Callithrix jacchus: one gene and its partners. The protein of the gene in region 1 interacts with the protein of each later gene in a pairwise test. Links are inferred from orthologs where the notes say so. Each region holds a gene or a part of one and is shown in the gene's direction. Other genes may lie near its edges. The genes, in order: MEOX2, KDM8, SMAD3, NAA10, PRKAB2, RPL15 and FUCA2.

The links.
Region 2: the proteins of MEOX2 (region 1) and KDM8 interact in a two-hybrid assay, tested with the Homo sapiens proteins (2 studies listed by BioGRID). The two-hybrid records come from large-scale screens. The link is inferred for Callithrix jacchus from reciprocal best matches to the Homo sapiens genes MEOX2 and KDM8.
Region 3: the proteins of MEOX2 (region 1) and SMAD3 interact in binary tests that used the Homo sapiens proteins (3 or more experiments, as listed by UniProt). The two-hybrid records come from large-scale screens. The link is inferred for Callithrix jacchus from reciprocal best matches to the Homo sapiens genes MEOX2 and SMAD3.
Region 4: the proteins of MEOX2 (region 1) and NAA10 interact in binary tests that used the Homo sapiens proteins (3 or more experiments, as listed by UniProt). The two-hybrid records come from large-scale screens. The link is inferred for Callithrix jacchus from reciprocal best matches to the Homo sapiens genes MEOX2 and NAA10.
Region 5: the proteins of MEOX2 (region 1) and PRKAB2 interact in binary tests that used the Homo sapiens proteins (3 or more experiments, as listed by UniProt). The link is inferred for Callithrix jacchus from reciprocal best matches to the Homo sapiens genes MEOX2 and PRKAB2.
Region 6: the proteins of MEOX2 (region 1) and RPL15 interact in binary tests that used the Homo sapiens proteins (3 or more experiments, as listed by UniProt). The two-hybrid records come from large-scale screens. The link is inferred for Callithrix jacchus from reciprocal best matches to the Homo sapiens genes MEOX2 and RPL15.
Region 7: the proteins of MEOX2 (region 1) and FUCA2 interact in binary tests that used the Homo sapiens proteins (3 or more experiments, as listed by UniProt). The two-hybrid records come from large-scale screens. The link is inferred for Callithrix jacchus from reciprocal best matches to the Homo sapiens genes MEOX2 and FUCA2.

The regions. Positions count from the first base shown.
Region 1 is NC_133512.1:42,792,411-42,796,794, forward strand, and holds the start of MEOX2 (homeobox protein MOX-2), read left to right. Parts: upstream 1-1,577; 5' UTR 1,578-1,856; coding exon 1,857-2,370; exon of another isoform or gene 2,371-2,411; intron 2,412-4,384. UniProt on the Homo sapiens protein: Mesodermal transcription factor that plays a key role in somitogenesis and somitogenesis and limb muscle differentiation. Required during limb development for normal appendicular muscle formation and for the normal regulation of myogenic genes.
Region 2 is NC_133513.1:27,795,587-27,799,170, forward strand, and holds part of KDM8 (bifunctional peptidase and arginyl-hydroxylase JMJD5), read left to right. Parts: intron 1-393; 5' UTR 394-424; coding exon 425-922; intron 923-3,584. UniProt on the Homo sapiens protein: Bifunctional enzyme that acts both as an endopeptidase and 2-oxoglutarate-dependent monooxygenase.
Region 3 is NC_133509.1:14,107,580-14,111,757, forward strand, and holds the start of SMAD3 (mothers against decapentaplegic homolog 3), read left to right. Parts: upstream 1-1,316; 5' UTR 1,317-1,878; coding exon 1,879-2,084; intron 2,085-2,458; exon of another isoform or gene 2,459-2,545; coding exon of another isoform or gene 2,546-2,550; exon of another isoform or gene 2,551-2,572; intron 2,573-3,506; exon of another isoform or gene 3,507-3,632; intron 3,633-4,178. UniProt on the Homo sapiens protein: Receptor-regulated SMAD (R-SMAD) that is an intracellular signal transducer and transcriptional modulator activated by TGF-beta (transforming growth factor) and activin type 1 receptor kinases.
Region 4 is NC_133524.1:149,842,110-149,844,801, reverse strand, and holds the end of NAA10 (N-alpha-acetyltransferase 10), read left to right. Parts: coding exon 1-14; intron 15-1,049; coding exon of another isoform or gene 1,050-1,186; coding exon 1,187-1,271; intron 1,272-1,787; coding exon 1,788-2,069; 3' UTR 2,070-2,135; downstream 2,136-2,692. UniProt on the Homo sapiens protein: Catalytic subunit of N-terminal acetyltransferase complexes which display alpha (N-terminal) acetyltransferase activity. Acetylates amino termini that are devoid of initiator methionine.
Region 5 is NC_133519.1:7,286,747-7,290,330, reverse strand, and holds part of PRKAB2 (5'-AMP-activated protein kinase subunit beta-2), read left to right. Parts: intron 1-1,619; coding exon 1,620-1,786; intron 1,787-2,590; coding exon 2,591-2,684; intron 2,685-2,915; coding exon 2,916-3,036; intron 3,037-3,584. UniProt on the Homo sapiens protein: Non-catalytic subunit of AMP-activated protein kinase (AMPK), an energy sensor protein kinase that plays a key role in regulating cellular energy metabolism.
Region 6 is NC_133518.1:62,266,400-62,270,631, forward strand, and holds the start of RPL15 (large ribosomal subunit protein eL15), read left to right. Parts: upstream 1-1,402; 5' UTR 1,403-1,711; exon of another isoform or gene 1,712-1,932; intron 1,933-2,118; 5' UTR 2,119-2,128; coding exon 2,129-2,300; intron 2,301-2,675; coding exon 2,676-2,812; intron 2,813-3,629; coding exon 3,630-3,935; 3' UTR 3,936-4,232.
Region 7 is NC_133505.1:150,287,152-150,291,413, reverse strand, and holds the start of FUCA2 (plasma alpha-L-fucosidase), read left to right. Parts: upstream 1-1,441; 5' UTR 1,442-1,483; coding exon 1,484-1,698; intron 1,699-4,262. UniProt on the Homo sapiens protein: Alpha-L-fucosidase is responsible for hydrolyzing the alpha-1,6-linked fucose joined to the reducing-end N-acetylglucosamine of the carbohydrate moieties of glycoproteins.

The DNA.
Region 1 (4,384 bases):
CACCTCTAAGCAATAGAAAACAATTCGATCTTTCACACGAATGTTATTGCGAAGCCACCATTCTGCAGCGTGACTTAAAAGAAAAGATAGGCTTAAACAGGGGGACTGGAAGAGGAGAGGAAAGGTTCTGCTTTGGGGACACCTCTCAAAGATTAATCAATACTTTTTCCTAATTCAAACCAGATGTCTAGCCCAGTTTGCTGTACCCATTAATCCCATTAACAACTTCAAAGACCTGGTCACCATCCTCTGGACACCTGAGACAATGAAAATAACAGGGCGACACTGCTGGTGGTGCAGTCGGGGCTCCGGGTGGAATAGGTGACTACAGATATTCTCCTGATCCGACACGTCCCAGATCCGACGTGACTGTTCCTCCTGCTCATTAAAGCCCATTCACTTGTGTATAAACGACTGTGCCCCAGCGGATCTTGTCGCTCACCAAGCAAGTGGCAGTATCAAAGCCCTGCCCTCGCTCTCCCATGCTTACTGGAGGCAAGTTATCGAGTTTATTTTCAGGGATGCAAAGATGTAATCAAGCGCCCAAGCTTAGTGAATTCTTAGAGCTATCGAAATTTAAGATTTCTCAGTAAATGGAGCAGTGGTGTTAAGAGACACGATTAGTGGATTTATTTTTGAGCAGAAGAGTGGATTTCTAGAGGGAACTGAAGAGACCTGGGCTAGCTCCGGAGGGGAGAGGCTAGAAATGTGCATGCAAATCTACACATCTCATGTGACTGGGACAAAATCGCTTGGAAATAATTCTTGACCCAGGAAAATTTCTTCTTGGTGGACGAGTGGCTAGGAAATTGAGCGAGACCAGGAAAGCGGGGGGGAGGGAGACTCCACCGGGCATCGCACGTGAGGATGCCAGAGAGCAGGCATCTGCAATTCGCGCTTACCTCCCACCCACCCCACCAGGTCTTCCTTAGGTCTTCCTCTCAGGTCTTTCCGCACTGTGAACCACACTTTCCAGGCCATGGTGCACGTCCCCGAAACCTCAGACCTGGCGTCCCAGCCTCTTAACCACCACCCACAGAAACTAACTGCGAAAACCTAGGCGCGCGGCGGCGCCCTGGGCACGGGAAGATGCGAAGTTTGAAAAACTTCCAGAGTGCGCCAGGCTAGCTCTGATCTTTTCCTTTAACCCTATCACTTCTTTCGTGTTCCTCAAAGGCTAGGCGTATCCCTAGCTTTTCTGCAGGTGACAGTTCCCAAATGACACTGACAAGTTACGTTTTCCCAAGAGAAAAATTAGTAGGTGGGAAACAGGGTGCTGGGTTGGCGCTGGTGCGCGCCGCGCCCTGGCCTCCAGAGTCTGGAGGGCAGAGCCGCTGCCCTCCCGGGCGGGATTTAGACGCTGGCGCGCCGCTTGTAGTCCTGGTAGCTGGCAGGGCTAGGCGGGCGTGGACGCTCTGCGTCTGTCCAGCCGGCGATAGGAAGTGGAACTGGGAGCGCGTGGCGCAGACTGAGCGGGAGTTTTGGAGGGAGTTTGCATGTGGTCAACTCTGGGCTCCTAAGCCAGCCCCCAGCTCACGTTACAGTCTATTTATAACCTCTCAGAGCCATTTCCCCCTGAAGGCAGTTCACTGGGACCACCTTCTTTTGGCTTCAACCTCTCCCACTCTTGACATCTGAGTAGCTCAGGGAAGCTCTTCCAGGTCCGACTGTTCATATGTAAAGGAGACTGGCCGTTAGGGCTCAGGACCGGGATTATCCGAGCTCTGCAGAAGTGCACGGCTATTGCTTTGAGAGGGGTAAAAAACATCACACGGTTTCCAGTGAAAAGTGACAGAGGGTGGTGGCCTTTAGAACCGCCGTGAAGTCTTCTGCCTGGAACCCGAAACTTGCATGCTATGGAACACCCGCTCTTTGGCTGCCTGCGCAGCCCTCACGCCACGGCACAAGGCTTGCACCCGTTCTCCCAATCCTCTCTAGCCCTGCATGGAAGATCTGACCATATGTCTTACCCCGAGCTCTCTACTTCTTCCTCATCTTGCATAATCGCGGGATACCCCAACGAAGAGGGCATGTTTGCCAGCCAGCATCACAGGGGGCACCACCACCACCATCATCACCACCATCACCACCATCAGCAGCAGCAGCACCAGGCTCTGCAAACCAATTGGCACCTCCCGCAGATGTCCTCCCCACCGACTGCGGCTCGGCACAGCCTCTGCCTCCAGCCCGACTCCGGAGGACCCCCAGAGTTGGGGAGCAGCCCGCCTGTCCTGTGTTCCAACTCTTCCAGCTTGGGCTCCAGCACCCCGACCGGGGCCTCGTGCGCGCCAGGGGACTACGGTCGCCAGGCACTGTCACCTGCGGAGGCGGAGAAACGAAGCGGTGGCAAGAGGAAAAGCGACAGCTCAGGTAAGAGAGCGCCAGGCACCCTCGAGAGTGCGCGCCGGCCTGGAAAGGGGGCGGGGAGATGCCAGGGAAGAGTCTGGCCCTGGAGGGTGGCGGCGGGGAAGAGGGGAATGTGTTAAATTCGGCGGTGAAGCTTTGGTCCTGTTATTTGGGGGCACGTGTTTATCCGAGAGCAACACAGCTAGCAGCTCTAAGCTCTCCAAGGTCCTAAACTAGTTTACCAGAAGGTTGATAAAAAAGGACAAGTGGCTGTGAAATCGATTGCGAAGCGTGACCTTCCATCCCAGCGCGGGGGAGGGAGGGGCGTGTGCCCAGGGATGCCGCGTCCGTTGGGCAGGCGTGCGTGCGTGCGGGTGCTGCTTCTTGACTTTTCTCTTGCAAGTTCCCGACTCTGAGTGGCTTGACTTTTCCCATCGTAAACTGGATTTCCAAATTATTGCACAATATTTGGAACTTGCAATGGAACTTGGCAGAGCACATGAGAAAAAAAAAAAAGTTTTAGTTTTTTTTTTTTAAACATTCTTGTTTGAGAGTTCTTTAAATAGCACCCTATTTCAAATGGTAAAAATTTCCCCTTCTTAGGGAAGAAGATATTATCTAGGAATTCAGATTTTAAGGAATGTGTCAGAGAATTGTAAATAAATACATGCTCACGCTGGAAGAAAGACGAACCTTAATATAGTACATGTTCATGTTGTGTAAGTTAATTACAGAATCTAAATTTCAAGAGTGGAAAATAAATCCCTCTACCAAGTTGGTTTTAGCTGCGGCAAATACTGGGTAGCGAACAGCAACTTGGGTAGTGTCAGTTAGCTACGTGCCTGAAGGTCGTATGCAAGGGTGCGCAGGAAGCGCTGATTTCAGTGAGGATAATTTGAGCAGCCACGCAAAAGGGGAATCTTCCTGACCTCTGGTGCTTGAAGGCACAACTTGCAGAGTAAATTGTAGCAATCCAGAGAAACTCAAAGTTTTCCAGACAACTTTTCAAAGCTCTGACCTACTTCTATTATCATAAAATTGTTAAAAGATACTTTAAAATTGAGAGACTTGTGAGTTTTCTTTCGTGGCTATGGTGCACCCTGGCTTCCATCTTTTTGGAAGGTATTATTTGTTTAATATAATATTTGTATATTTTTCTTCCTCTGCGGAACTGGGTTAATAATAGTCCTAGAAGGTAATCCCATATATTGGTTTGAAGGATTGGAATGTTTATGCTTTTTAAAGCTTTAGGTGAGATGTCACATAAATGAAAATGATTGACCGCATGTTTAATATTCCTCTCCCCTTCGCAGCAATATCAATCGTTCTTCAGCGTTAGTATGGGATAGATTCTTCTGTCAGAAGAATAAAATAACTTTTATTTTCCAAGGATAGGGGATGAACTTTTAATGTTCAATCACAAATTAGTTTTTATAAGAAAGTTAGCAGTGGTGTCACTGATATTTACTGTATTTTCCTAACTATAAGTGAAACTCCCTTTAGATAGTGGAAGGTTAATCGTTGTAAGAAGGTTTCAATTTTTATTAGAAAAACCGTCGATTTTAGAATGCAGTGACAATTTTATAAACTGAACATTCGATATCAGTGTAACTTTTGAAAGAGATCCCAGTTCAGGCTGATGAGAGTACTCTTGCAATTCCCATAAGCCCTTACTGTTCATTTTATTTTTCTGCAATGAGAAACCTACATGATAGCCTTATGCTTCCGGAACTGAGCCACTGCCCTTAAGTTTCTTAGGGCAAACAATTTTCATGCAAGCACATGTTATTTTGTTTGGGGGAAACCAAGAAAATGGAATTCAATAACTGATTTCCTTAATTTATTTTAATAAAACTTTTTTTTTTAAAAAGGAATAATTTAATAACATTTGTCTCTTCCCCCAACTGTGTGGGAAATAGCCATTTAACAAAATTAAGTTCATTTCTACATGTTGAAGCTGATAATGAGGGTAATGGAAAAACAAACAAATATAAGTGTTTGTGTCAGCTGAATAAATTATGAATAAATTAAAACTTGA
Region 2 (3,584 bases), on another chromosome or scaffold:
GTGCTAGAAAGAGAAGCTCAAGGGCTGCAGGAACACAGAACACTGTTGGAGAATCTTGGCAGGTCTCACATACAGGTGTTTAAGATGGGCCTTAAAGGTTGGGTAGGAGTTTGCCAGGCAGCGGAGGGGTATGGGAGGCAGGGCAGACAAGGACAATATACACGTTGCTTTCTGAACACACATTTGTCCAGTGCTCGCTGAGTACCAGGTGTTGTAACAGGCCCTGAAGATACAGCAGTGATACAGACAGAAGGGGGCCGTCCCTTCCAGAGGTCCCCAGCAGAGAAGACCACTGTTGAAAAATCCTCCCAGATGAGATGCAGGAAGCTGCAGGAAGGCACAGGGGACAGGTCTGTCCTGGTGTCTAACTCTTGTTTCTCTCCGCCTCCCCAGGCACGGGACCGACTGAGCTGGCAGTGGCCCAATGGCTGGAGACACCCACTGCCCTGAAGAGCCCCTAGCCGGAGAAGGCACTCTTTGGGAGGCCCTCAGGGCACTCCTGCCACACACTAAAGAAGACCTGAAGCTGGACCTCGGGGAGAAAGTGGAGAGGAGCGTGGTGACGCTGCTGCAGCAAGCCACTGAGCTCTTCTACAAGGGCAGGAGGGCCGAGTGTCTGCAGACCAGCGAGGTGATCCTGGACTACTCCTGGGAGAAGCTCAACACGGGCACGTGGCGGGACGTAGACAAAGACTGGCGCCAGGTCTACGCCATGGGCTGCCTCCTGAAAGTCCTGTGTCTGTGCCAGGCACCTGGGGACGCCACCACTGTGGCTGCAGCCCTGCGGGTCTGTGACATGGGCCTGCTGATGGGGGCAGCCATCCTGGGGGACGTCCTCCTTAAAGTCGCTGCCATCCTCCAGGCACACCTCCCTGGAAAAAGGCCTGCCCACGGCTCCACCCCGGAGCAGCCCTGCACAAAGGTATGTGGGGGAGATTGTCCCCAAGCACAAGAGCCATCCAGCAACCCTGCTGTTCTAGAAATTCCAAGTTATCTCTCCCCTGGGGTGGAGCCTCATGGCCTGCAACCCCTCTGACGGAAAATAGCATCTCCATTGATTCTGAATTCCTGTTTGTTTTTTGAGGTACGCTCCCGCTCTGTCGCCCCAGCTGGAGTGCAGTAGTGCAATCTCGGCTCACTGCAGCCTCCACTTCTGGGCTCAAGCAATCCTTCTGCCTCAGCCTCCTTAGTAGCTGGAACTATGGATGCGTGGCAACACACCCAGCTTTTTTTTTAGTTTTATTTTTTATTTTTATTCATTCTTTTTTTGAGACAGAGTCTCGCTCTGTCACCCAGGCTGGAGTGCAGTAGCATGGTGTTGGTCACTGTAACCTCTGCCCCCCAGGTTCAAATGCTTCTCTTGCCTCAGAATCTGCGTACCTGGGATTACAGGTGTCTGCCACCATGCCTGGCCAATTGTTGCTTTGTCAGTAGAGACAGGGTTTCACCATGTTAGCCAGGCTGGTCTCAAACTCCTGACCTTGTGATCCACCCACCTCAGTCCCCCAAAGTGCTGGGATTACAGGCGTGAGCCACCACGCCCAGCCTATTTTTTATTTTTTGTAGAGATGGGGTCTCATTATGTTTCCCGGGTTAATCTGGAACTCCTGGCCTAAACGGATCCTCCTGCCATGGCCTCCCAAAGCACTGCGATTACATGTGTGAGCCACCATGCTCAGTCCCCATTGATTTTGAAAATAGACAGCTCCATTCATTTTCTCAAAAAAAAGGAAAACTTCTTTTTCCTTTTTTTTTGCAAAAGCAGCGCTCTTTCAGCAGAGAGGCAGCAGGGAAGCTTCATGGTTCCTGAGAGAAAGAGAAACAGCTTAAATAGATTATGTGGGCGAGAGTTGCAGCCAGCAGCGGCCCATTTCTTTCAGCTTTTTCTTGATGGGCTTGCTGAAGTCTCACCCAGGCAAGGTGATACCTCTGGCTGCTCCCATCTCTCTGCTCCCGGGTTTGAATGAGATACTACAAGTAGCTGACATCTGTTTTGGGGATCGATCTTGCCCACCCCTTGAGTCTATGTCTGTTCCAAAGACCACCTCCATGAACAGAACATGGTTTACTCCTCAGGCCCTGGTGCTGACATACAAGCCTCACAGCAACCCCAAGCAAGTCACTTAACCTCCTTCGAGCCTCGGTCTCCTTGTCTGTAAGAGTGGCAGAGTACCGACCCACAGAAAGAAATGGCTAAGACTGTACTAGACACTCAGTACTGGAATTATGGGATGTTTTTGACATTTTTTCTAAATGCTTTGCTATGTTTTCAGAATTTCCTACAATACATATTCTTATTCTTATTATTGAGATGGAGTCTCACTCTGTCACCCAAGCTGGAGTGCAATGGCACAGTCTGAGCTCACTGCAACCTCTGCCTCCCAGGTTCAAGTGATTCTCCTGCCTCAGTCTCCCAAGTAGCTGGGATTATAGGTGCCTACCACCACAACCGGCTGATTTTTGTATTTTTAATAGAGACGGAGTTTTCACCATTTGGCCAGGCTGGTCTCCAGCTCCTGACCTCAGGTGATCTGCCCACCTCAGCCTCTCAAAGTACTGGGATTACAGGTGTGAGCCACCACGCCCGGCCACATATTACTTTTATCTAAGAAAAATGCAAATGATTGTCAGTAAACACACATGCATGTAACCAAAATAAAACAAAATCCAATAAAGGGTGAAGAAAAATTGTCAACAAATATGTCAGACAATGAATATCTCTATTATGTAAGGAATGGTACAAATCAATAAGGAAAAAATCTTGAGCCCCAGGAGGTAGAAGTCGAGGAGCCTGAACAGACTGTTCACAAAATGAAAATAGATCATGCAGGAAAATATTCAACCTCACCTCGGGTTAAAAAAATGAAAGAGGGGGCCAGGCATGGTGGCTCACGCCTGTAATCCCTGCACTTCGTGAGGCCGAGGCCAGCGGATCACCTGAGGTCAGGAGTTCAAGACCAGCCTGGCCAATATGGTGAAATCCCATCTTTACTAAATGTACAAAAATTAGCCAGATGTTCTGGCACACACCTGTAATCCCAGCTACTCTGGAGGCTGAGTTGGAAGAATTGCTTGAACCCAGGAGGTAGAGGTTACAGTGAGCCGAGATCACACCACTGCACTCCAGCCTGGGTAACAGCAAGACTCTGTCTCAAAAAAAAAAACATAGCTTACTGCAGCCTCGACCTCCCAGGCTCAGGTGATTTCTCCTGCCTCAGCTTCCCGAGTGGCTGAGACTACAGGTGTGCACCACCACGCCCGGCTTTTTAAATTTTTTCTAGAGATGGAGGTTTCTCTATGTTGCCCAGGCTGGTCTTAAACTCCCAGGCTCAAGCAGTCCTCCCACCTTAGCCTCCCAAAGTGCTGGGATGACAGGCATGAGCCACCATGCCCAGCCATTCCCCAGCAGTTTCACACCTGTGGACACTAGACACTGAGGCCTCAAACAGCAAGTAACGCCTCAGGTCACCCAGTTGGGAGATAGTTAAGTAAATGATGGTGCAGCCACTCCTAAAAAATTGCAAGGACTGGGTGGCCATGTGGAAACTGCTTTTGATAAATGGATGGGAGAGGCAGGGCTGCTG
Region 3 (4,178 bases), on another chromosome or scaffold:
CCTGCCGCTTCTGGCCTTATTTTGTGTATTCCGACACACCTCACAGGGCTTTGTAACTCCCCACCCACTTGAAGGTTTGCAGATAACTTAAAAACAAAAAAACAAAGCGGGGGTAGGGGGTGGGGGATTCCTGCTGTTAAAAACAAACAAAGGACTTAGACACTGCCTAGTTTGATGTGGGAGGCCGCAGCAAGAGAAAGGCCCAGGGTACCGGAGTATTTCCTGAAAGTCACCAAGGGGCCTGCGGGCAGACGCCCCTGAAATCTTTTGGTGGGGTGAAAAGACCGGAGCTCCACAATGTGCCAGTTGGTTTGTTGTTGTTTTGCTTTTTTATTTTTTTTTAAATACATAAACTCCCAAATACTCCTGTCTTGCCTCACTTTTTTGTGAGTTCATTGCTTTGGAAACAAAACTCTCTTGCATTTATTGGGTGTCAAATTTCCGATCTTTCTCTATCAGGAGATCCAGCAACACCCGGTTATGTAAATTTCTTCCAAAGATAAATTTAAAAGCATCCCCATTCATTCCTTTTAAGAATTCAACAGATGTCTTTGAGGCCCATTTTCTGCCGGGTACTCGCTTCACAAGGCTCAAGGGACCCCAGGCTCCAGCCATTGTCAAGGTTGTCACTGAGATCCCAACTCTCCACTTCTGAGGACCCACTTGTCCCCACCTCCCCGCTTCGCACACGTTCCGGAGGCTCTCAGCCGGTGTGATCTCACCGTCGAGAGAATAAAAACAGCCCCCGGGCGCCGGAGCCGGCCAAGGGCCTTGACGGGGATCAGCGAGCGCAAGGCCAAGTGCGCGCCCCAACTTCCTGGGCCCGGGCCTTCCGCGCGCCCCCTCCCGGGCTGGGGTCCTCTCCAGGGTGCACTCCCGCCGGGACAGCGCTTGCTTGCTGCGAGTCCAACCCTCTCCGGCCCGCAACTGCAATCGAGCTGCCCGAGCGTGGGCTCCGACAGCGAACGCCAAGGGCCGCGCTCAGCCCTCCCTCCCGCGGCCCTTCTCGCCGCGCCTTTCCCAAGACTTCCTCCCCGCGCCCGCCCGACTTCAGGTGGGGGCTGCGCGGGATCCCGTGCGCTCCAGCCAGGACCGCTGCCGCCCGGGTCGCCCACGTGGGCGTGCTGGGCGTGGGGAGGTGGCGAAGTGGCCGGCCAGCCGGCCCGCCGGGGGCCAGCCGGGAGCTCTCCCCTGAGCAGGGGGCGGATAGGACGCCCGCGCGAGGAGGCGGCGGGGCGCGGGGGAGGAGGCGGGGAGCCCCGGCGGCGAGGGGGCGGTGACAGCGCTAGGAAAGGAGGCTGCACGCGGATTTGCATGAAACACAGACTGGGAGCGGGCGGGAGCGGGAGCGGGAGCGCGGCGTACGCCCCGGGCCGGCCCAGCCAGCGAGCGAGCGAGCGGCGAGCCGGGAGGAGGAGGGCAGCGGGGCTGCGAGGCAGCAGAGGCGGAGGGATCTGCTCATCAAAGCTAGCGAGGCGAGCGAAGTTTGGCCGGGGGTTGGACTTTCCTTCCCGGAGGCGGCACCCAAACAGCTACCCCGTGCGGAAACCCAAACTTCTGCTGCCACTCGGAGTCTCGCGGCCGCCGCCTCCGCCCCGCGTTCGGGGCCTTCCCGACCCGGCGCCGCTGCCGTCCGCCCACCCGCCTGGCCGCCGTTTTCCCCGCCGTGGGAGCAGCTCCGGGCTCAGAGCGGCGCGCCGAACCCCGCAGGCTGCAGCGCCGCGGCCCGGCCCGGCGCCCCGGCAACTTCGCCGAGAGTTAGGCGAAGTTTGGGCGGCCGAGGCCGGCCCCGGCAGAGCTCCCCTCTGCGCCCCCGGCTTCCCGCCGAGTACAGCCCCGCCGGGGGCGCTCCTCGCCGCCCGCGCGCCCTCCCTAGCCATGTCGTCCATCCTGCCTTTCACTCCCCCGATCGTGAAGCGCCTGCTGGGCTGGAAGAAGGGCGAGCAGAACGGGCAGGAGGAGAAATGGTGCGAGAAGGCGGTCAAGAGCCTGGTCAAGAAGCTCAAGAAGACGGGGCAGCTGGACGAGCTGGAGAAGGCCATCACCACGCAGAACGTCAACACCAAGTGCATCACCATCCCCAGGTGGGGGCCCGCCCGGGGGACCCGGGGGCAAGCAGCGCAGCCCCCTGGCACTGCGGGGCCGACCCAGTGGGGTTGGAGATGGGAAGAGGGAGAGAGACTGTGTGCGTGCGTGTAAGAGTGGGGAGCAAGAGCAGGGGCAGGAAGGGGGTGGGGGGACCCCAAACAAAACCATCTCTGTATTTGCAAAGATCAGAGCCCGAGGCTTCCACGCGGCACTCTCGCTTCCAAACCTCACATTCCCTTTCCACCCCTGGGAGGGGAGAGCGGGTTGCTGCGGGACTCGGCCGCCCCCACCCCGGGGAGCTGGGGCTGGAAGTTGAGGCCCGCTTTGTTCGGCTCCGCGGGCCGGAGCCCCTCCTCCGCCGCCGCCTCCCGCCCCCGCGGCCCGCGCTCGTGGAGGTGGTGGTGTCTCTGCGTTTCTTTTCTTCAGTCCGGTCTCCCCACTTCTTTCCTCTACAGGAATGCGGTCCGTACAGCTGGGGCTGTGGGTGAGGAGCGGGAGCCTCGTGATTGACAGATTCCTTCTTCGTTCTTTCTTTGCCTTCGGGATTAGCGTTTTTATCGAGTATTTTTAGATTCGGTTGTGCCAGTCTCCCGCCCCCTGCGCACGCACGCACTTTGGTTGCAGTGCAAATGCTCTGACTTCCAAATGGGAGAGACAAGTGGCAGAAAATAGGGTCTCCTCCCTCATTTCCCACCCCTCATCCCGACTCTTTTGCCCTCCTTTCAGTCCAAGAGATTTTGAGTCGTGCAGAACGAGGGAGAGGGGCGGGCTGGAGCCGGGCAGATAACAAAACACACCCCGAAGTGGGCCTCGCATCGGCCCTCGCATTCCTGTAGAGCCCTCCTTCCCAAAGCGCTCTGCCATCTGTCTGGATCTCCTTTATCCTTCCCGTCGCGCGCTAGCTAGGTCGGGCGGGAGCCCACAGATGGCTGATAGAAGGGGTCAGTGACTTCACTCCCCCAGGGGCTTCCTTAGCTTAGCTGTGCCTGATTGGGAATTGGGGGTGGAGGTACCTTGGCCTCCTGTCTCTACCTCTCAGTCTTCTTTGATTCCGAACCAGGGGAGAGAGTGTGTGTGTTGGGGGGTGGCTGTTTTGGAGGTCCTAGGCTGCAGAGGAATGATTAGAGAGCACCAGGGACTGTCAGCCATGAAGGGCTGTCATCCCTGTTCCGGAGCCAGGGTGGACTCCATCCTTGGCCACCTGCTTGGGGCAGTTGTACAAGGTCTGCCAGGAGAGTCAGGCAGGCACAAAGCAACATCTGTCTGCAGGAACTCAGGGCAGGCTTCCCCTGGAAATAAATGCCACATATGGTGGGAGTGCGGACTTAAACAAAATTCTTTTTTAACTGGGTGGATCCAGTCAATAAAGGGGGAGGGAAGGCGGTGTGCTGTCTGGGGAAGTCTCTGGGCGTGTGATCAGGAGCCAGAATTGACTTCAGAGGAGGTGGTGTGATGTGATGGTCAGAGAGACCTCGGGGTTTGGTTCCAGCTCGGGTTCTTAATTCTTCTGTATTTCTTCGGTGCGGGTGGAGAGGGTAGAGTGGGTGAGTATCCTACTTCTCTGTCTGGGGAGGGGGCTCCCAAACCTACCTTGTCCGTATCTGCCGTGGTGCATTGAAGACAAGCGCTTTAAGCGTTGAAAAAGAAAAGTGGTATTAATTATACAACAGGCAGCTGTGAAAAGTGTTTCACAGTTTACAAAGCACTTTCACATGGTTTCCGAGGTTCTCAAAAAAAGCAAGCAGGCAACCAGCCAAGCCCTGGAGAGTAGGTTAGGTTGTTAGGCCTAAGATTATCACATTTTTAAAGTTGAGAAAACTTTAGGAGAGAGAGGTGCAAAGGCCTGGGTAGTAGACACGGGCTTCTGACCGCATGTGCTCTTTCTGCTGCCCCACGCTGCTTTCTGCTTTGAAGATCTGAATACATTCTTTGCTGAATGCTAAAGCCCTTTTAGCTTGGGGAGGGCCCTGTGGACCTTTGTCTGTGCCGTTGCTCCTGTATCTGTGGGCTGTTGATGGCTTGGCGGAGAGGCCTTGCTTTCCCTGGTCTTGGTAGTTTGTCCTCTGTGGGGTTATACCTTTGGCCTGCCT
Region 4 (2,692 bases), on another chromosome or scaffold:
ACCCTCAACTTTCAGTAAGTAGATCTTGGTGTCTGTAATGGGTTGGGGCTGGTCCCAGGTCTGGCTGTCAGGGCCGCTGAGACCAGCTGAGCTGCTTTCCAGGCAGGGGGTGGGCTAGCTACGGGGAGGAGGCTGTGGATCCCAGCGCTGCCAAGATGCCTCCCCACTCACTTGGTGGCTGATGGCTGAAATGTGCTCCATGTGTGTTGTGATGGAGGAGCTCTGGCCCATGCTGGCTGAGGCTGGTGAAGGGCACAGGGTTGTTTAGTCATGTTTGGGAATAGAGATGTGTGGGTCTCTGGCATGAGCAGATGCTAAGGAGCAGGACTCTGTGTGACCAAGCGCCTGGAAGCATCTAAGAGAGAGCAGAAGCAAGGAGAATGCATGTTCAGGAAGAAAGGGCCGGCGGCCAGGCAGCCTAGTGGATGGGGCAGGTCTGCCGAGGACCCGGAGGCCCCGTTTGCCTGGCCCAGGAGAGAGAACCTGGCAGTCAGTGTGCCCAGTAGACAGTGGAAAAAAGTGCTTGCAAGTGAAGCTGGGGTGGGCTACCCGTGTGCCCGTGGAGGGATGCTAACTGCACTCAGCACCAGTTTGACTGTTGGGAAGGGCGGTGGCCTCGGCTGGGTGCTGGCAGGAAGGATCTGTGACCCAGATGAGGATGTCTGGTGGAAACTGCTTTATAGTGAAGTCAACAGTCCTCATGTCTGAGGTCTGACAGGGCCAGCCTTCCAGGACATGGCCACCCGAGCCTGCACGCGTGCCTCCCCAGTGCGGGCTGGGCTGTGCTGCATAGGGATGCAGCCCTCAAACGGGCTCACCCACGTTCCTGTATTTTCATCACTGTGGTGAGGCAGCTCAGTAAGGGATAGGAAGCAGGGCAGAAAGGGAAGGGGAAGGCTGAATTCAGGGCTTCAGCTCACAAGAAACCACAGAAGGGGAATCCTTAGTAGCCAGGCTAAGGACACAGAACAGGAACAGGACAGGGGTGGGGCGGGCCACTGTTACCTGGAGCCTTTACTGGAAGTGGGGCCACTGGAGGATTCTTTCAGGCTGGACTTGCTGTCTCAGGATGGAGCCTTCAGGGAGAAAACATGTCACCTTGCTTCAGTAGCCATGATGCCAGGAGCAGAGGAGGATGTGTCCTGGGTATGGGTCTTCCTCCTTGCTCTCTGCCCTCTGCCCCCAGGATCAGTGAAGTGGAGCCCAAATACTATGCAGATGGGGAGGATGCCTACGCCATGAAGCGGGATCTCACCCAGATGGCGGACGAGGTGAGAGCGCTGCAGTTTAGCCAAGCGAGGCCAGTGGGGTCGGCCCTGTGGGCGGGGGGGAGGTGGCGGCACTTGAGAGCCCTGGGACAGTGGCTGGAAGCAAGACCAACTTTGGGCGCCAGCCCTTGTGGCCACATTGCCAGGACTCACGGCCTCAGTTTCCTAGGCTGGGCTTTAGAGGAGGCTGTCTGCCTAGCAGCAGCCTGGAGGGTGGTGGGAGAGGCAGACGGAGGAGGCTTTTAGAAGGGAAGTGGGACAGCCTGGGACCAGTGGGTGGCCTGCCTGCTCAGAGGTAGTTCTGAGTCAGGGTTCTGCCCAAGGTGGCAGGGCTGTTGAAGGGGCAGCACTCGGTCGTGGGGGCCTCCATGGTAGTCAGTGAACCCAGGGAGCAGTGGGCAAGGCTCCAGCCAGGTGTCCCCACTCAGTCCCGTGTGTCTTTCCTAGCCCTGCTGCTTCTCATTATGCCCGTCCCCTCAGCCAGCGACAAGTCCAGGCTCCCCTTGTCTGGAAACTTAGGCCCTGTATCTTTGCTCCCGCTTCTCCCTGGGCTCCTGGCGGCAGCTGAGGCGGCACCTGGAGCTGAAGGAGAAGGGCAGGCACATGGTGCTGGGCGCCATGGAGAACAAGGTGGAGAGCAAAGGCAGCTCACCTCCGAACTCAGGAGAGGCCTGTCGTGAGGAGAAGGGCCTGGCTGCTGAGGATAGTGGAGGGGACAGCAAGGACCTCAGCGAGGTCAGCGAGACCACAGAGAGCACAGATGTCAAAGACAGCTCAGAGGCCTCCGACTCGGCCTCCTAGAGCCTGCCCCGGCCCTTCCTCACCCCACGAGCTTTCACAATAAATTCGCTCTATGGCACTGGGGAACTTTGTGTGTGTGTGTGTGTGTGTGTGTGTGTGTGTGTGTGTGTATGCGCACGTGCGCTTGCACATTTAGAAGGTGTGTTTCTCCAGCTCCTCTGTCTGGTGGGGATGTGAACCTCACAGCCTTTTAAGCCAGGGCATCCTGCCAGGCCCGAGTAGAAGGGAGGAGCTTTGTGAGAGCCTTGGGGGTGGGACTCCCCAGTCTCATAACCTTCAGCAGCTGTGGCCCCAGGGAAGGAGGCCCTAGACTTCCGGGAGAGACCCTGCCTCAGAGGCCTGCTCGGCCACGCCGAATGTGTTTTGTGCAAGCCTCGGCCGCTCAGGCTCAAAGCTCAACAGCGGGCTCCCATTCTTCAGTACTTCTGCTTGGCTCTTGAGTGTCCCACCTCCAGCCCTTTTCTCTCCTAATCACACTTGCTTTGGGCTACAGCAGCTCCACTACACCCCGTGGGCTTCAGATGTAGACATCCAACTGCTCATTGGGCCTGTCTACAGCTGTCCTGTCTGAGTAATGACCCAGCCAGATGCCCAGTTGCTCAAGCCCTGTCAGTGGTCCTTGA
Region 5 (3,584 bases), on another chromosome or scaffold:
GAACATAATCAGGGTATGTCTAGGAAGCTTTTTTACTTTATTTTAACATAATTACAGTATTATCTAGGAAGCTTTTTAAAAATAGATTCCCAGATCTTATATCTGAATCAGAATCTTAGGGTTATTCTTAGGCATATGTAAAATTCTTGCAATTCTAACACAGTCAGTCATGCAAGAGTACATTGTTCTGAGAATATGTAGTTTTCTCTTAAGTCAGTTCCTTATATAATGTGAAAGTCCTTTCAATTCTCTTTCTCTGTTTACTTTGGATTATCCTGCTACTGATGTCTCGTACTGTAGTTTTGGGGAATATCACGAGAATGTATGGAGGGGAAACTATGTCAACCATTTTGAAAAGAAGGCCCAAATGAATAAGCCAGTCCTTTTTGGGGGGGGGGGAAGCCCACATTATTCTATTTGGTAATATTTAGGCTTAATAATCTACAGTCTCATTTACCAGAGTCACTTAAACCAATCTGAAACAGGGGTCAGCAAACTTTCTGTGAAGGGCCAGGTAGTAACTATTTTAGACATTGTAGACCATGCAGTCTCTGTTACAGCTGTGCAATTCTGCCACTGTAGCTTGTAAGTAGCTATAAGTAATACAGGTAAACAAGGCAGGGATGGTGGCTCGCACCTCTGGTCTCAGTTTCTTGGGAACATGGCTTGAGCCCAGGAGTTCAAGGCTGCAGTGAGCTATGATCACACCACTCACTGCATTCTAGCCTGGGTGACAGAGCAAGGCCGTTTCTCAATAAATAAATAATAGGTAGACAAATAAGTGGAGCTGTTTTCAAATAAAACTTGATAAAAGCATCTGGCTCACTGGCTGTCTGCCAACTCTTGGTCCAAAGGATGATAATGAAAAGAAACAGGAGATGTTTTTTTTTGCAATCCCACATACCTCATTTGGTAAGATTACTACTCTTGATAAAGGAAACTGTATTTTCGATCTCTTGCTCCTTGAGGTTCTAGAATTTTTGTTCCTACTCCTGAAATAATTAGTATAAACCTAGCACAGGGGAGCAAGTAAGATTTCATAGCTACTTCTCAAGTTTTAAGAAATCAGTGATCCGGTTTTTGAGTTTTTACTGTTTCTTCTTTTTGTAACTTATTAGCAGAAATAGCGTTTATGAATTATGAATTTTGATGTCTCTAACTTCCATTACAGCTGGTAATTGAGAGCTATTCATATTTGCCTATAAAAATATATATTATTTTTTAATAGAACCATACTTTGTTTTTATATGTTTTTTTCTCTTAAAGACTCAGAAGTGTATAATAATTGCCTGCTTATGAGTTAAACTAGTGGTAGGGAATAGTTTTTTCTTGCTTTTTTTTGAAGGAGAGTCTAAGGCGCGGAAAGGGTGGATGATGCAGGTAGACTCAAAAGTCAGGCTATGATTTAGGAGGTACTTAAGCATAGGCCATTTGACCATTTTTGGTCCTAAATGAGTTTTTTTTTTCTATAATTTGTTCAAACTCAGATTTAGTTGCTGATTGTGGGGTTTATATCCTTAGCTAAAGCCTAGCATCCTTCTCTACCCTAGGGAGGAGAGTGACCTTTTAGAATTCTTGGGTCACAGTTTATTCTAGGGATGACCTACTCCTTCTTACAGCTCCCTGGGGACAAAGAGTTTGTATCCTGGCAGCAGGATTTGGAGGACTCCGTAAAGCCCACACAGCAGGCCCGGCCCACTGTTATCCGCTGGTCTGAAGGAGGCAAGGAGGTCTTCATCTCTGGGTCCTTCAACAATTGGAGCACCAAGATTCCACTGATTAAGAGGTGAAGACAAGTGTCTTGGTTGAATCTAAGGGTCCAGGAATAGTGACCTAATTTCTTTTCTCAGAAGAGAAACGCCACTGGACTACTTTTCCCCACTGCTAAGGACTCTCTCTAGAACATGCCCTTTCTGTGGCCACTTAGTATATCTGTGGGATTTTTTTAAACTTCATAGTGAGTCAGAGATGTTTTACCCCTTCGAATATGATTGCCTCAGAGGGATTCATAATAGCTTTGTGGCTCCATTCATTAGGGCTGTGCTTGTGGGAAGTCTTCTGTAACTGGCTGAGGCTTGTTGCCCTGACTTCTGCACTAAAGCAAAACACATTTTGAAGTTCTAGCTAGTCATGTTATTTGTTGCTCCCACAGCAATAATGAATGGTCTAACTGGTTGTCAGAATGGCCCATTGTATGGTAGGTCATTTTCCAGAAAAGGTTCACGGAAATAGAGAAAGGATACCTTGAGGCACTGTGTCCTGAACCTACCTATCTTCTTTGCACTGGCTAGGAGCTTGTTCTGCTGAAGCAACGTAGTTATGCTAGGGTGCACCATTCCAGAGGATTCATGCTTTTATTATTCTTTTCCAGATACTGGTTAAGAACTAACGTTGTTGGGAGGAGCTGGTAAATACACGTCCAAGATGATACAAAAGAGGAGAATGGGTTTATACATTGTTTTTCACACCAGGGGATACAGTGGCTTAGGAATCTGGGAGATCCTTCATGTGATACTGTGATTGCCACTTGTTTTTTATATTTGGTCTTCTGAAAGGAACTCGGCCTGTTTGCTTTTCTTTTTCTTCATAGCCATAATGACTTTGTTGCCATCCTGGACCTCCCTGAGGGAGAACACCAATACAAGTTCTTTGTGGATGGACAGTGGGTTCATGATCCATCAGAGGTAAGGCCTTGATCTCCAAGGGTAACCACTGACTTAGCAGCCCCATTTTAGCTGTCACTTCTGTCAAGACTGATGGGCAGCTGCTCCCCTACACTGGAGGATTTCTCTCTTGATAAAATATGGAGGTGCTGAGTCTAATCACATGTAAATTTTAGGATAAAAGAGGAAGGTTGGATGGAAAAGATGGATTTGAAAGAGAGATTCAGTATTTTTTTCTTTTCCCTGTTTCAGCCTGTGGTTACCAGTCAGCTCGGCACAATTAACAATTTGATCCATGTCAAGAAATCGGATTTTGAGGTGTTCGATGCTTTAAAGCTAGACTCTATGGAAAGTTCTGAGGCATCTTGTAGAGGTAATTTTGTAGTATTTACTCTTTTTTTGCTGTGTCTTTCTTGCACCTTCCCAAAAGTTGTTTCTGTATGTATATATATATAGAAAGAGAGAGACAGAGAAAGAAGAAGAGAGTGAGCCAGGGTGGGGCGGGGGGTGAAGGGGAGAGGGGGAAAGAGACATTGAGATTTCTCTTGTAAGCTTAGGTCTCTTCTTTGCTGCAGACACCCACACACACGCACATGCTAACAAAAGTCTCATGGTGTAATGTTTACCGTATCACATGTGATACACTCCATTTGCTACATTATCTTTTTTTTTTTTGAGACGGAGTTTCGCTCTTGTTACCCAGGATGGAATGCAATGGTGCGATCTCGGCTCACCGCAACCTCCGCCTCCTGGGTTCAGCCAGTTCTCCTGCCTCAGCCTCCTGAGTAGCTGGGATTACAGGCACGCACCACCATGCCCAGCTAACTTTTTGTATTTTTAATAGAAATGGGGTTTCACCATGGTGACCAGGATGGTCTCGATCTCTTGACCTCGTGATCCACCTGCCTCGGCCTCCCAAAG
Region 6 (4,232 bases), on another chromosome or scaffold:
CCTCTTATTAATCTGCACGCTCCAGTCTTGGCACTTTTCCCTCTGCCTGAATCAGTCCCCACTCTTACTCCTAGACTCTTATCTTTTGAGGTCCTATCTTAAATGCTGCCTTCTCTAAAAGACTTCACCTGGACATTCCATCCCAAATGGCAAGCCCCCGCCCCGTAACACTCCCTCATCGCTTCCCTCCCTTTAGCGTATTTCCTTAGCATTTACCAGCAACCCCAATACACAGCTTACTTCTGCCTGGTGCCCGTTTCCAAGAAGGCCAAAATTTCTGCGTTTGCTGCTGCAGCCCTAGCAGCTATGCCTGGCACGTATTAGACACTTAATATTTCTTGAATCAATCAATGAACCAGATGGGGACTCTTAAAAAGGTAAGGCTGTGATTTAAAAATACAGAAAACTATGATGTAGGGAAAAAAGATAATCAAAACCGCTGCGACTAAGAGATACGATTCTCTTCAACCTTTGCCACATTTGAACGCATAATCTGGAAGGAAATTAAAACCACATGACTGTATCAAAAATGAAAATATTCTGGAGAAGCAAAATAAGCCAGTAACCTATTTCTCAATTTAAAAAAAAAAAAAACGCAACGCAAAATGCCAGCATTTTCTCGGCGTTTCTTCCCTAAAACATTCACAACTGCCAAGACCTGTTTAGGTCTTGGAAAATAAATATTTTGCTTTTCTGAAAAACTGTGGTTCTGATGTTAGCAAATTTGGGACGAAATCCGTATGCAGAAAAACCGCCCAGCTGCCCGCAATCCACCCACTCCGTGACCCTTTTTAGGACAAAAATCCCTGGGAGCTGGGGCCTGAGAGCGCGTCACACAGACTGGAGCTGAAGGGACGCAGTGAGCGCCCCCATCCGCGTTGCCCCCGGCTCCGCAAAGGCCTCCCTGGGGGGCTGGGAAAGCGTTGAGGGGTCTTAGCGCAGCGCTGGGGCCCAGATTTCTCCGCCTGTCATGCGGGGGCAGGAGAGGGACAGAGTAGCTTGGAGAAACCCGCAGAGACTCCGCAGGGGGAGACCGCGGTGCGCGAAACAAACCTGTTCTCTCCTCCGACCTCGAAGACACTGGCTCCACCGCGGCCCGCGGCCACCGGCTTTGGAGCCTGGAGCCCAACTTGCTTCCTCCCGCTGCGGGATCTTAGCCGACACTCGCTTGCCGGCCGAGGCCTCGCAGCCAACTCTCTCACCCTTCGAGACGCCCAGGCCGCTCAGGCTCAAATCCTGCGGAGTAGGGGACGGGACAATCGGGACGGCTGCGCGCCACTCGGCAGAACTCCGCCCACCAGGCGCGATGCCGGAACTACATGTCCCATGAGGCTCTGGGAGGCCGCAGCTTTCCACCGGAAAGAGATTGGCTGAGGTGGGGGAGGAGCCCAAAAAGGATTGTGGGAGTACAGCTCTTTCCTTTTCGTCTGGTGGCAGCCATCAGGTAGGCTGAGTTGGGAATCTGCTCTTCCATCCGCCTTTTATCGTGTTCGTCTTCAGCCATCCAGGCTCGGGGACCCTGCATCCTCGGAAATAGGTCTCCCTCCTCTCCGACAAGAGTTGGTCAGGATGCGGGACAGCGAGGGGGTGGAGAGGCGCCCCCCGGGGTGGGTTGGGCGAAGATATGATGGCGGCGCGAATTCGAGCTGGGCCCGGAGCCTGGAGGAGGCGTGAGGCTGACGGATGTGGCGCCCGGAACAAGGCAGCCTAAGTGAGGCTGCTGGTTGGATGGGGTAGATGCATTTTCCTCGAGAGTTAATCCTCCGTGGCGGCAGCAGTACCTTGCCCTGTGGTGTCAGAGACATCTCCTTGCAGGTCCGCCTTGGGGACGCCGCCTGCCGCAGCCACCCGCCCCCTCGGTGCTCAGCTCTAGTTCTATTGATTCCCCCCACCAAAACGTGCCGAGCGCCACTCCGCGTCGCAGTTGCGGAGGTGACTGAACGCGGCTCCGTGGGCGCTGCTGTGGGGGTTGGGCTAGCTGTCTCCGGCGGTTGGTGCCGAGCCGTTTTCATTCCCGCGGTGTCCTTGTGCTTGTTGGGGAACTAAGATGGACGGGAAGGGTCGTCGTCTTACTGTACTTAAAGCGGATGATATCTAATGCCCAGTCTGATTACGCAGGTAAGCCAAGATGGGTGCATACAAGTATATCCAGGAGTTATGGAGAAAGAAGCAGTCTGATGTCATGCGCTTTCTTCTGAGGGTCCGCTGCTGGCAGTACCGCCAGCTCTCTGCTCTCCACAGGGCTCCCCGCCCCACCCGGCCTGATAAAGCGCGCCGACTGGGCTACAAGGCCAAGCAAGGTACGTGATCGACTGCGTGGATGCTTGGATGAAACTATTCGAGAAAAGTTGGAAACTAACTGTTAGGAAGACACTGTCGCCCCGGTGTCTTTCTTCGGATAGGGCTTTGGCGAAAGAGGTAGCAACACTGGTCAGTTAAGGAATGCACCGTTGTCTAAAGTGGCAGGTGTGTTAAAGATTACAAATTTTAATGAGTTTAAAGCAGAATCAACAGTGTGCCTCCTGTGTGATTAATTGAAAAATACTGGAATGTGGTTTTTTTTTCCATTAATAGCAGTAGCTTACTCTTGAAGTATTTTTGGTGCAGTGTTAGTAACAAGCCATTGAGTCTTGGCTTCCTATAAAGTCCCTAATTTTGTGTGTGTTTGTGTGTAGGTTACGTTATATATAGGATTCGTGTTCGCCGTGGTGGCCGAAAACGCCCAGTTCCTAAGGGTGCAACTTATGGCAAGCCTGTCCATCATGGTGTTAACCAGCTGAAGTTTGCTCGAAGCCTTCAGTCTGTTGCAGAGGTAAATGGTTTTAAGTAGCAGTTACATTGAATACTGCTTGGAGATCGTGAGAGAGACAGATCTAAGCAGCTTTTCTGATTGTACTTAGGTGAGCTGTCTCTTGAATAAAACAGGATTTGTGATTTTTATTAATCTTGGTCAAGAGTAATTAATTGCTTGAAAGACTTGTAAATCTTTGTTACAAATGTGTGTGTATAAACTGGAAGTACTTGTGGAACCTAAGCTTTTGAGGCACAGTAAACTTTATCTTAGAACACATTTCCCCAATTGTGTAGAAGCTGCATTTATGTTGCTAATTTTATGTAGTCAGTTGCAGGTTTTCTTCCAGGTTAGTAAATTAAGCTATGTTCTGTTGTAGGCATTGGCAAACTAGGGACTGTCTCCACTAGCTAAAAAATTTTTTGTTTTGTTTCTTAAAGAGTCAGGAATATCCAGAAGAGACCAAATGTGGCCTGCACAGCCTAAAGTACATACTAAATATTGTTAAAGCTGAACATTTCTGAGCTCTCAGTTGTATTGGAAAAAGATAAGGTCCCCAAACCCTAAATTTTGTTAGCCAGATGTTAACATTCGTGCCCTAGTGCAGAATGGAGTGATAAGGGAATGAATGTGTTTCAGTGTATGTTTATGTGTGGTGTTTTAGCATGTCTACTTTATCTCATTATGCTTACTGGAGACAGTCTGGGGAGAGATGCTTAGTAAATACTTGGAACAGTAAAAGACTAGTCTGGTGGTGAACTAGAGGTGAGAAAGTTCTTTCAACTTGCTGCTATAGGCAATGTGGGAGACTGATGGTGGGCCTTTTTTCCTATTCTAGGAGCGAGCTGGACGCCACTGTGGGGCTCTGAGAGTCCTGAATTCTTACTGGGTTGGCGAAGATTCCACATACAAATTTTTTGAGGTTATTCTCATTGATCCATTCCATAAAGCTATCAGAAGAAATCCTGACACCCAATGGATCACCAAACCAGTCCACAAGCACAGGGAGATGCGTGGGCTGACATCTGCAGGCCGAAAGAGCCGTGGCCTTGGAAAGGGCCATAAGTTCCACCACACTATTGGTGGTTCTCGCCGGGCAGCTTGGAGAAGGCGTAATACTCTCCAGCTCCACCGTTACCGCTAATATAAGTAAAGTTTGTAAAATTCATGCCTAATAAACAATTTAGGACAGTCATGTCTGCTTACAGGTGTTCTTTGTTAAAATTAGTCTGCTGATTGTTTCATGAATGCTTTGTCAAATTCAAGTGCAATAATGTTTGAAGACAATACGTGATATGGTGTATGTTTCTAATAAGATAAACATTTTTGTCTTTGCTTTATCTTATTAGGGAGTTCTATGTCAGTGTATAAAACATACTGTGTGGTATAATAGGTTTAAAATAAACTCTTTAAAAGAAAAGTACTGAAACTAGCCCTGTAG
Region 7 (4,262 bases), on another chromosome or scaffold:
TCTGGCTTTACTTTGAAAGCACTTAAGAGGTGGAAGAGAGGCCAAGCATGGGGGCTCATGCCTATCATTCTAGCACTTTGGGAGGCTGAGGTGGGTGGATCACCTGAGGTCAGGAGTTTAAGACCAGCCAGTCCAACATGGTGAAACCCATCTCTATGAAAAAAAACTACAAAAATTAGTCTGCTATGGTGGTGGGTGCCTGTAGTCCTGGTCACCTGCGAGGCTGAGGCAGGAGAATTGCTTGAACCAGGGTGGCAGAGGCTGCAGTGAACCTAGATTGTGCCACTGCACTCCAGCAGGGGCAACAGAATGAGACTGTCTCAAAAAACAAACAAACAAACAAAAAACAGGTGGAGGAGATAAGCTTCCCAAATGTCCTTTTGATTAATCATTCCAAGGTGTTGATGGCTTTTCCCAAGCTTGCAGATTTCTTAAACATTCATTCCACTGGTTTCACCTGTCTCAGATAATCTGCTTGTTTAATGCAGTGGTTCTCAGGAAAGTTTGGCTCACTGCCGGCAACGTCAGAATCTTTTTTTTTTTTTTTTTTTTTTTGAGACAGAGTCTAGCTCTGTTGCCCAGGCTGGATGGAGTGCAGTGGTGCCATCTCGGCTCACTGCAACCTCTTCTTCTCGGGTTCAGTTCAAGCGATTCTCCTGCCTCAGCCTTCCGAGTAGCTAGGACTATAAGCTCACACCACCCCACCCCCCCTAATTTTTTGTATTTTTAGTAGAGACGGAGTTTCATCGTGTTAGCCAGGATGGTCTCAATCTCCCGACCTTGTGATCTGCCTGCCTCCGCCTCTGCTGGGATTACAGGTGTGAGCCACGGCGTCCGGCCCAACAACAGAATCTTCTGGGAACTGGGTAGAAATGCAAATTCTTGGGCCCCAACCTAACTGCTGAATCTGAAGCTCTTGGAATTTCCTCTGACATAAATTCGAGGTTGACAGCCATGGTTCTAACATACAGACCTTGGGAGCTGATACAGAGGCTGAGAACCATCTAGGTTACTTTCCATGTTCCATCTTGGCGAGACCTGGCTGAGGTTACTGCCCTGACCTTCTCGTCCACGACTCGGACGTGTGGAGCAGCACTCAGGCGGGCTGGTGGCGTGGTCCTCTTGGGCAGATATTTGGGCAGGGTCGTGCCTGCTTGAGGGCAGAGGCGCTGGTCACAGGGCCCTGACGCAGACTCATATTTTCCCCCTCAAAGCGGACAGAGCCTTAGCAAAGCCATGGCAGCTGGCTTTGGGGTAATGGGGGCCTCCTTAGTCACGCTGAGCGATGCAGCCCTCCTGGGGTTATTGCGAGTGCCCGGGAGAGTGGCGACTCCCGCCCCGGAGGGGGAAGGGTGGCCTGTTTCCAAGTCCGGCTTGGTCAGGTGACAGCGGCGCGGCATACTCAGCAGCAATAAAACGGAAGGACAGCCCCTGTGAGGCCGCGCCAGCCTGCAAAGAAGACAGCCGGCCCGCGCGGGGGGACATGCGGCCCAGGGAGCTCCCCGGCCTCGCTCTCCCGCTGCTGCTGCTGCCGCCGCTGCTGCCGCCTTGCCCTGCCCGCAGCGCTGCGCGCTTCGACCCCACCTGGGAGTCCCTGGACGCCCGCCAGCTGCCCGCGTGGTTCGACCAGGCCAAGTTCGGCATCTTCATCCACTGGGGCGTGTTTTCCGTGCCCAGCTTCGGTAGCGAGTGGTTCTGGTGAGTGCGCTCCTCTGCGTCTTCTCTGCCGCGCTCTTGTTCCCACCCGCAGGCTCCAGCCACCACCCAGCGGGCCTGGTGCTGCCTGCACCCTCTTCGGTTTCACCTCCCACTTCCGGGTTTCGAATGTGGGGTTTCTTGCCGAAGTGTGTCGTGCTGAATGAACAGGGAATTTTTCTTCCTGTAACTGCAAGAGTTTTCAGACACACCTGACTCCTCAGCTTCTTCACAGTTGCCCATATGAAGCTGTAGTTATGACACTACAACATCGAGCTACTAGAGACACTCATCAGTTTGTCCAGGGCCATCACATGAGCGCGGACTCAGACACAATGGCTCGTGGCTGCTCTGCCAGTTTGCAGTCATTCTGGAGTGAACTTATGGTTAAAACATAGTCATGAGTATGTGAAACGACTGTTCATTTGAACACCATTGGCTATTTAAGGTTAATATGTTACCCATGTGTGGCTCCAGGAACTTTTAAAAGAGGTTCTGGAATGGTACTCTTAACGCCACCCAGTTATACTGCCATATGAAAGGTGCTGCACAAAAATCCGTGCTTTAGATTTTACTTTGAGATCTATGTGAGAATGTGCATATAATTTCTTAAACTATTGCACATGTCTTTTCTGGATAAATGCTACAAGTATGAAGTTCTTTAAAATAGAAATATTTTGTGTGCATATACAGATACATGCACATAATATATTCTTTTATTTTATATATTTATTTAGAGACGGAATCTGACTCTGTCGCCCAGGTTGGAGTGCAGTGGGCTGGTCTTGGCTCACTGCAACCTTTGCCTGCTGGGCTCCAGCGATTCTCATGCCTCAACCTATGGAGTAGCTAGGACTACAGGCATGCGCCACCATGCAGGCTAATCTTTTGTATTTTTTAGTAGAGATGAGGATTTGCCATGTTGGCCAGGCTGGTCTCGAACTCCTGACCTCAGATGATCAGTGGTGGCTCACGCCTGTAATCACAGCACTTTGGGACACATAATATATTCTTAAGTAAAATAAAGGAATCATTAAACAATAAGTATTTATTTGACTATATACTACATAAATAGTATACATCCAAATTAACATACTATATTTAATAGACAATACAGAGTATGAGCTATATGTTATATTAACATTACACAGTATACACTATACCATGCTTACGGTAGGGGTAGAAAAATTACACCACCATTCTGTTAGGGTCTCTGCTGGGTCCGAGAATTAAATAGACATTGTGTGATTAAATTATATGGGGAGGCTTAAAAAATAAGAGTTATTTGAACAAGGTCTGCACAGGATTCTACTTCTTATCTTTGAAGCTTAGGATGTTGCCTTTTCTTCTAGTATAGAGCATCTTTCACACTGGAATTTCATCTTCTGCTCCTAAGAAACAGCACAAGGGTCAAAGTGCTTTTCATGCTTCTGCTATTTTTCAAGTTTCTTTACATTTAATAATATGCCACAGTATCATATTTTAGCCCTTTCATTACAAAGAGATTGACCACCTGCAACCAGTAACCTTTCTTATTAGTAGGCCAGTTGATGTAAAAAAATAAAACTGGGTAAGCTATGGAGAATTATTCATGTACTTTAAATAATTCAACTTGTAAAACAGAGACTCTTTCTTCTTATACCAAAACATAGCTACTTCAAAAAGATGTTACAAATATTTATTTGCATGTTTTGGGCGGTAAGGAATCTTGAGTTTATTTTGGAAATGTTTTAGGTTAGTGTGGTACATAATTAACACATTTTCTTCCCCCTAAATTGTATCTTATATTGTCATTTTCTTCAATCGTGAAGATTAGGTAAAGATATATTGGTACCAGAAGAGGATTTGACATTTGTTAAAACTAGTACTATGCCAAAATAAAACAGCTACTTTTGAGTCGTTTTATTCTTTGCTATGAATAACTTCATTTTCTACAAATAAACCTATGGTTGTTTGTTTTGACCTAGAATAAAGGTCAATAAAGATACTTCTCATACTAAATAAAATGAGAACACATTCCTGAAGATCTGGAAATGCATTAACCCTGTGGAAGATTTTTTGATTATCTATGATTTCCCTTTGTATCCTCTGCTCCTTACTCTCAATTTGACTTTCAGGCAATCAACTGTACAGATGAGTATATCTGACTGTCCTAAATGGCTATTTTTTTTTTTTTTTTGAGACGGAGTTTTGCTCTTGTTACCCAGGCTGGAGTGCAATGGCGCGATCTCGGCTCACCGCAACCTCCGCCTCCTGGGTTCACGCAATTCTCCTGCCTCAGCCTCCCAAGTAGCTGGGATTAGAGGCATGCGCCACCATACTCAGCTAATTTTTTGTATTTTTAGTAGAGATGGGGTTTCACCATGTTGACCAGGATGGTCTCAATCTGTTGACCTCGTGATCCACCCGCCTCGGCCTCCCAAAGCCTAAATGCCTATTAAAAACCAAATATAAATGATGGACTTTCTACCATAAATGCCTCTTTTCATCTCTCAGCATGAAATTTGAGTCTAGACTGTAGGGGAGAATGCAGGTTCAAATTAGATGATACTAGGAGAAATTCTCTC